2 linked regions of the Xenopus tropicalis genome follow. The protein of the gene in region 1 interacts with the protein of each later gene in a pairwise test. Links are inferred from orthologs where the notes say so. Each region holds a gene or a part of one and is shown on either strand. Other genes may lie near its edges.

Evidence for each region.
Region 2: the proteins of urod (region 1) and lratd2 interact in binary tests that used the Homo sapiens proteins (3 or more experiments, as listed by UniProt). The two-hybrid records come from large-scale screens. The link is inferred for Xenopus tropicalis from reciprocal best matches to the Homo sapiens genes UROD and LRATD2.

Annotation. Positions count from the first base shown.
Region 1 is NC_030680.2:90,479,520-90,483,331, forward strand, and holds part of urod (uroporphyrinogen decarboxylase), read left to right. Parts: intron 1-280; coding exon 281-360; intron 361-1,562; coding exon 1,563-1,625; intron 1,626-2,448; coding exon 2,449-2,646; intron 2,647-3,085; coding exon 3,086-3,247; intron 3,248-3,800; coding exon 3,801-3,812. UniProt on the Homo sapiens protein: Catalyzes the sequential decarboxylation of the four acetate side chains of uroporphyrinogen to form coproporphyrinogen and participates in the fifth step in the heme biosynthetic pathway.
Region 2 is NC_030682.2:140,887,053-140,891,403, forward strand, and holds lratd2 (protein LRATD2), read right to left. Parts: upstream 2,823-4,351; 5' UTR 2,702-2,822; coding exon 2,487-2,701; intron 2,298-2,486; coding exon 1,463-2,297; 3' UTR 396-1,462; downstream 1-395.

The sequences.
Region 1 (3,812 bases):
CTGCTTTCTATAGCAATTACATTTACAAATACTTTTTAAAGCATGCCAAATCTCTTGCTGTTGAGGAATGTTCAAATTTCTCAGCATCAGGAGAGGTCCTGGTGTGACAACTATTGGCCAAAACTATTATATCTTATTCAGAGGGCTGTATTAATAACGGCTTAGTCACTTTGGCCTGTCTTTATCAGGATTATAATTTTTAAAGAGGACAAAAAGGAAACCCACTTTAGGTTGATAACTGTATCTCTATTAAATACGTACTAAACTCTCTTCTTTGCAGAGTTTCGGGAGACACGCGCTGGACAGGATTTCTTTGCGTCATGTCGGAGCCCTGAAATCTGCTGTGAACTCACACTGCAGGTAATGGAGAAGGCAGAGAAATATGAAGTAATTGGGAACGTTTCGGGGCAACATAACCACAACCGGACACATTTATTTATGCTTATCTGTGGAGTAAAAAAAGATTTAGAATTTAGTGTAGGGGACCAAGGAGTTTATTGATTGTTAGCTTTATCTCAGTTATTTCTGCTCCAGATATTTGAAGGGATGCAGTATTTCAAACAATTTGTTTTATCTTTATATGCTTATAAGTTTGAAATATCAGCAGCTATCTGGTTGCTTGGGTCTTGTTTACCTTATGAACCAGGTAGATGTGTGAATGAGAGACTGCAATATATATAGGAGAGGGACTGAATAGAAAAATAAGTAGTAAAAAACAACAATAATAATAAAATTGCAGCCTCTCAGAGCAATAGTTTTTCGGCTGCCAGAGTCAGTGATCCCATTTGAAAGCTGGAAAGTCAGAAGAGGAAGGCAAATAATTTAAAAACTATTACAAAAGAAATATTGAAGACCAATTGCAAAGTTGCTAGGAATAAAATATTCTATAACATACCACCCCTTTAAATATATGGATGAATGGCTCTTTTTTTTGCAACTCTTAGAACCATGGCACACACACAGCAGTTTGTTTTTTGCTTAAGGCAGTTATCAAAATGCTGCAATATCCTAGGGTTGCTTTCCACTCCTAGCAACTGAAAAGCAGAGAAAATGCACTTGGAGCAATAGTAGTAGGTAACTCACATCAGTTCCTGTTTAACTGATTAGGAAGTGATCTGGGGCAGGTAGCAACGTTTAGGTCTCTGGCCCTAGAAGCGTTGATCAGTACGCAGTGTGAGCCACTGTCATTAGATGGCTAATAAGCAAGCATGACAGGACTGCTGCTCATCAAAGGGAGGATTTAGTCATAACAGTACCTGTACTACATGCACGTTTTCACTATGTAAATAAATCCATTTTCCACCACTGGTGTGTCTTTAAAGAGAAAATAAACCCTCCTGTTTAATTTTTTCTTCCCTTATGTAAAAATGTATTTGCCTAGAAACTCTTATTATTATTATGCTGACATCTGCAGAACGCCCCAGCCAAGGCAAGCAGTACAGAAACACCCTCTGATACATACTGGGAACTATGTTTATGGGCTGGAAGACTGAAAAGGAGGTTACCTACATAGACATTAATTCCCGTTTTTTGTTTAATGTAGTTTTTGTATTTTTTTGCAGCCGCTGCGGAGGTTTCCTCTTGATGCTGCTATCATTTTCTCAGACATCCTCGTGATACCACAGGTAAAAATGAAGGCAGGAAGCCACCAAACAGTTTTACATTTATTTGAAAAGAGCTTTATGTGTAAACAGTTTATGTCTATAAACTATGCATGTAATAACCCATGAATAAAAACACTGTAATCCTATTGGTTAGGATTACATTGAGATATATTCTTGCCCTAAGATACTTAAAAGTTTATGCACTTTAACTACCACAGATACAGATTTAAATATTCTGATGCTGATATTTAGTGTACATTTAGTAAATGTGTTAAACTCTGCAATTAACAGGACATAGCCATTGGTGCTAACCCTGGAGTGGAAAAAATACTTTTGAACTCCAGAGAGCCAGACAGCATAGGGATATCACAGTAGCTGGGTTTCGATCTACAGTATAGATGTTCCACTTGAGGAGGAGATTTGGGAGTAGTTCTATTAGCACCTTGACACTTGATTGTTTTCCCTTGCCAATTTAGGAGCCTTCCATATTTCCAGAGACCATTTATATCCCAAGAGAATACATAAATAAGTTGGGGGACAATTCAATTATTTTAAACTGTTAAAGTTTGATATATGAACTGATACATTTTCCAGCAGCAGCAAAAGCTTCAGCAACTACTGAACATGTTTCCCAAGATGGCCTGGATTGGCAATCTGTAGATTCTGCCATATGCAGTCATTATTTATTGGTACTGTCACATAACATGCTTCGGGAGATGAAAGGGAACTAGGGATTGTAAATAAACAAACACTTGCTCCTTATTTTATTTATATGTAGTGAATGGGTTTGCTCTATTTCATAGAATCTGTTGTCAAGTCCTGTATGTATCCATTTTTATCACAGGCTCTGGGAATGGAGATCCGGATGGAACCTGGGAGGGGACCTGTATTCCCTGAACCTTTACAGACCCCACAGGACCTGCACAAGCTTAGAAGCTCAGTGGATGTATCAGAGGAGCTGGGATATGTATTTCATGCCATCACACTTACACGGCATAAAATAGAAGGAAAGGTGCCCCTGATTGGATTTACTGGTGCACCAGTAAGTGTTGCTAACATGGGCAATGCCAAGACAATACACAATTCATAAAGGGAATTTAAACCCCAAAAAATATATAGCTGTGGTGGTTCTCTGAGCAGTTTTTGCAATTTTGTTTTAGACTTGGTAATAGCGACTTGGTTTGCAGCTTATTTTGCAGGTTGAGAGTGTCGCTGACCCTACCACAACATAAAATATGCACAAGTGCAGTACTATTGGCAGCCTATATTCATAAATCAGCCACAGGCTCAGAGTGGGCACTATTCATGGTCTTATAAAGAACCCTAAATAAGAGTGCTAAGCCTGAGAACTTATGTTCTTGCCACAACTGAGCACTTTTGTGGGAAGGACAATCATCGCGGAGCTGTAGTTCTAAATGGCTGAATGGCTTTTAAATGTAAGTTCATGTCATTAGTTTATATCTCATGCTTTCTACTTATAGTGGACTTTGATGACCTACATGATAGAGGGAGGAGGATCTAACACTATGTCCAAAGCAAAGCGCTGGCTGTACCAACACCCCTCTGCTAGCCACCAGCTTCTGAAGCAACTCACTGATGTCATTGTGGAATATTTGGTGGGCCAGGTAGCAGCGGGTGCTCAGGTATGGTAAACTGGTAATGTGAAAAACTGCTTTTAGATTTTTAACAACTTTAAAATAAAATATACATGTTAAAAAAGTTTATGTACTGTTGGATAATGTCATTTTGTTTTTAGAGGTAAATGTATGAATTTATAAAAGGTTATAACCTGTACTTGGTGTGCATATATGAGGGTTTTCCCTGGTCATCACATGACTTGGGCCAAATGTAATGCGCAGCTGTAGCCACTATTATTGCAGGAACAATTGAACCCCATCACTTTTTCCCTTAATACCCTCTTTTTCTGCCATATTGTTGTTGCGTAAACCCACTTAGCATACTGCACACTGAAAACTATGTTGCCTTGGTTAATATATTCCCCCTAAACTCAGATACTTGCTGATATGATATTTACTGTTATTAATGGGTTAATTTCATTGCACAAAAAGTGTTTCCAACACCTATTTAAAAGCTGCATGAATAACAATTTATAAAAACGTGCTACAAACATGGTATAGCAATTTTATCTGGGCTAAAAGTTTCGCCTAATAAGGTTTTTTTTTGTTTGTGTTGTAGGCCTTGCAAGTG
Region 2 (4,351 bases), on another chromosome or scaffold:
AGCAGCCCATGTTGCCTAAGTGCGGACTGCGTGTCTGTAACCAAGGTAACAGACTCAAACACTGACTGTCTCTGTTGGAGCACAGCCCTAATGAGCCCCCTCAATACATAGAATGTAACGAACTGTCCCACATTGTGAGCACACTACCTGCTATACATACAAAGGGCACCTCCTACCCACGTGGCCATTTAGTACATCTATGGGACCGGTTATCCAGAATGGATCTCCAAAAGTTAAGTCTGCTAAAGATCATTTAAATATTGAATAAACCCAACAGACTTGTTTTGCCTCCAATGAGGATTAGTTGGGGTCCAGAACAAAGTACGGTTTTATTATTACAGAAAAAAAAAAACAATTTTTAAAAATTTGAATTACTTGATTATAATGGAGTCAATGGGAGATGGCTTTCCCGTAATTTGAAAACTTTTTGGATAACAGGTTTCCGGATAACAGATCCCATACCTGTACCTACTAAGTAGCCTGTCATATAACAGGTGAAAACACATATCTCCCCTGCCTTAATTGCATATCAGCCGTGGTTCCACCATGACATGAAATCCAGCTGATGGGAGTTGAAGTTCAGCACTGATATCCCAGCTCTGTCATTTAGCAAGATACAAAAAGCTCTGCTTAACACATGCAGCAAATAATCACAGTAATGTGATAAAAAGGGGCAAAGTGTAATAACCCGCAGCAACCAATCAGATGCTTGTTTTCAAACAGGTGACCAGTACAGGCAGTCGCCTGGTTGTTACGGGTTACTAGACTAGTGGAAACCGTTGCACCTTTTAGTACATTACCCCCAATCAGTGTAAACAATGGCAGCTGGCTGGACCTCTGGGCACAATGCAGGGGTAAGGGGGAGGAATGGTGCCCTGCTTTGGTACAAACACCAAGACTGTAGTATATTTCAGCCTGAACCACCATATAATGAAACCAGCCCAAGATCTCAGCTGTGGGTAGGGCAAGTAGCAGAAGGGGAAGGCAGAACAAGATGGCAGCCACAAAGCAAGATGGCGACAGTAAAACTTTAGATCAGGGTTTCCCCCTGCCAGTCCGGTGTTGTACAACTCCCAGCACCACCAGGGAGTTGTATCTCAGCCCTTATTGTATTCCATCAACAGCTGAAGGGTCATAGGATATAAAGAGTCGGGCCCTGGGCCCCCAGCACTACTAGCGCTGTAGGGCAAACAAGCAGCCGGATCCTGCCAACACATCCAAGGGGCCACACCTCCCTTTAAACACAGGCAGAACTGGTTCCAGTTGGGATTTGCCTTAAAGGGAAATATTCCTTTTGGGAGTGAAATGAAACGCCAGAAATTGGGATATAGGCAGTGGGAATTCCGCAAGCGTGAGGGGGGGGGGGGAGTGAAATGGTTAAACCCAAAGTAATAAGAACTGAATAAGCTCTCCCCCCTCACATGTGATTTGAAAGGAACTGAAAGGGTTAAGTGGCTGCCCCTCAGTTGTTGCCATTGGGCTCTGTCCTGGGTTCCTCCTCACCATGGAGGTGGCTGGCGAGTTCCTGCAGGAGGGCGGCTTTGCCTATCTGATCGTTCCTTCTCCTCTCCATGATCAGGTCCTCCAGGCTCTGGAACTCCAGCGTGTGGCTCTTCTTCTCGGAGAGGCGAATCCGCAGCCGGTAGGGCTGCTTGCCTATGCGGATCTCCCCGCCGATCTTAAACTCCCTTTTGCCGTAGCGGCACCAGGCGGCGAAGCACTCGGAGTTGCGCCAGTTTAGCTCCTGCTCCTTGGAGCCCACCTGTTCCATAGCGTTCTGCACCGCCACCTCCGGGCTCAGCGCCTTGAATCGGTAGCGATCGTTGACGATCCGGCCCCTCCGGCCCTGGCTGGCGTCCGTCACGAAGCTGTTAGCGATGTGCAGCCGGTACAGATGCACCACCTGGAAGTCCCCCACATAGAGCGCCCAGTGCGGGTACTGGTTCCTGGCCACAAACTCCAGCAGGTCCCCGGGCTTGCACCTGTCCAGCAGCTTCTCCGGGGAGTAGGTCCTGCCCCGCTCCGCTCCGCCCAGGCTCCTCTCGTAGATACACTCGTCCCGGTAATACACCGAGCACTCCACCTCGTTACCGGGATCGTAGGGCAGCTCCTCCCGTACTACTGCGCTCTGCCTGCCCGGCTCCTGCCCGGGCTCCTCCAGTTCATCGTCGTCCGCCGAGAAGATGTAGGAGACCCCGATTCTGGGACCTTCGTCCTGATCTACACCGGTCGGATCCACCGTGGGGACTTCTTTGTAGCTGAGATGGGTCAGTTTCTCCACCTGGTTCCCCATTGATCTGTAAGGGAAACAGAAAGTGTTTGAGTAGCGTCAACTCTTACTAACAGGGGATTGTGGGAGTTGTAGTCAAGCCCCCGCTAGAGAGTCGCACCTGTTGCAGTCGGTGTTGCCTGTGAGACCCCACCCTATGGGGCAGGGAAGGTCGGACAGGTGCGGTCAGTACCAGCGGAGAGAAGTTGCCACTTACCGTGCGGCGGCCCCAGCCAGGCAGCGATCCCTCCGGCTCAGGACTAAACAGAGGGCCGGTGTCCGGGCACAGGGGGGCCCCCGGGCGGGATCATGGCACATGCGGCTCCCTGCGCGCCGGAGTCTGTACTGATCCGACCGGCTCAGCGGCTGCACTGACTGTGTGCGACTGTAGCACCGAGAGCTGAGCCGCTGCACCCACCCAGCCCTCACCATTTAAAGCTACAGTGCACCTGCCTGACTCAGACCTGAGCTCTCCCAGCGCTACACCCAAGCCTTAAAGCTACAGGGCACCCTCCTGAGCTCTCCCAGCGCAGCACCCAAGCCTTAAAGCTACAGGGCACCCTCCCGAGCTCTCCCAGCGCTACACCCAAGCCTTAAAGCTACAGGGCACCCTCCCGAGCTCTCCCAGCGCTACACCCAAGCCTTAAAGCTACAGGGCACCCTCCTGAGCTCTCCCAGCGCTACACCCAAGCCTTAAAGCTACAGGGCACCCTCCTGAGCTCTCCCAGCCCAACACCCAAGCCTTAAAACTACAGGGCACCCTCCTGAGCTCTCCCAGCGCTACACCCAAGCCTTAAAGCTACAGGGCACCCTCCTGAGCTCTCCTAGCGCAACACCCAAGCCTTAAAGCTACAGGGCACCTTCCTGAGCTCTCCCAGCGCTACACCCAAGCCTTAAAGCTACAGGGCACCCTCCTGAGCTCTCCCAGCGCTACACCCAAGCCTTAAAGCTACAGGGCACCCTCCTGAGCTCTCCCAGCGCTACACCCAAGCCTTAAAGCTACAGGGCACCCTCCTGAGCTCTCCCAGCGCTACACCCAAGCCTTAAAGCTACAGGGCACCCTCCTGAGCTCTCCCAGCGCTACACCCAAGCCTTAAAGCTACAGGGCACCCTCCTGAGCTCTCCCAGCGCTACACCCCAGCCTTAAAGCTACAGGGCACCTTCCTGAGCTCTCCCAGCGCAACACCCAAGCCTTAAAGCTACAGGGCACCCTCCTGAGCTCTCCTAGCGCAACACCCAAGCCTTAAAGCTACAGGGCACCTTCCTGAGCTCTCCCAGCGCTACACCCAAGCCTTAAAGCTACAGGGCACCCTCCTGAGCTCTCCCAGCGCAACACCCAAGCCTTAAAGCTACAGGGCACCTTCCTGAGCTCTCCCAGCGCAACACCCAAGCCTTAAAGCTACAGGGCACCCTCCTGAGCTCTCCCAGCGCAACACCCAAGCCTTAAAGCTACAGGGCACCCTCCTGAGCTCTCCCAGCGCAACACCCAAGCCTTAAAGCTACAGGGCACCCTCCTGAGATCTCCTAGCGCAACACCCAAGCCTTAAAGCTACAGGGCACCCTCCTGAGCTCTCCTAGCGCAACACCCAAGCCTTAAAGCTACAGGGCACCCTCCTGAGCTCTCCTAGCGCAACACCCAAGCCTTAAAGCTACAGGGCACCCTCCTGAGCTCTCCCAGCGCTACACCCAAGCCTTAAAGCTACAGGGCACCCTCCTGAGCTCTCCCAGCGCTACACCCAAGCCTTAAAGCTACAGGGCACCTTCCTGAGCTCTCCTAGCGCAACACCCAAGCCTTAAAGCTACAGGGCACCCTCCTGAGCTCTCCCAGCGCAACACCCAAGCCTTAAAGCTACAGGGCACCCTCCCGAGCTCTCCCAGCGCAACACCCAAGCCTTAAAGCTACAGGGCTCCCTCCCGAGCTCTCCCAGCGCTACACCCAAGCCTTAAAGCTACAGGGCTCCCTCCCGAGCTCTCGCAGCGCAACACCCAAGCCTTAAAGCTACAGGGCACCCTCCCGAGCTCTCCCAGCGCAACACCCAAGCCTTAAAGCTACAGGGCACCCTCCTGAGCTCTCCCAGCGCA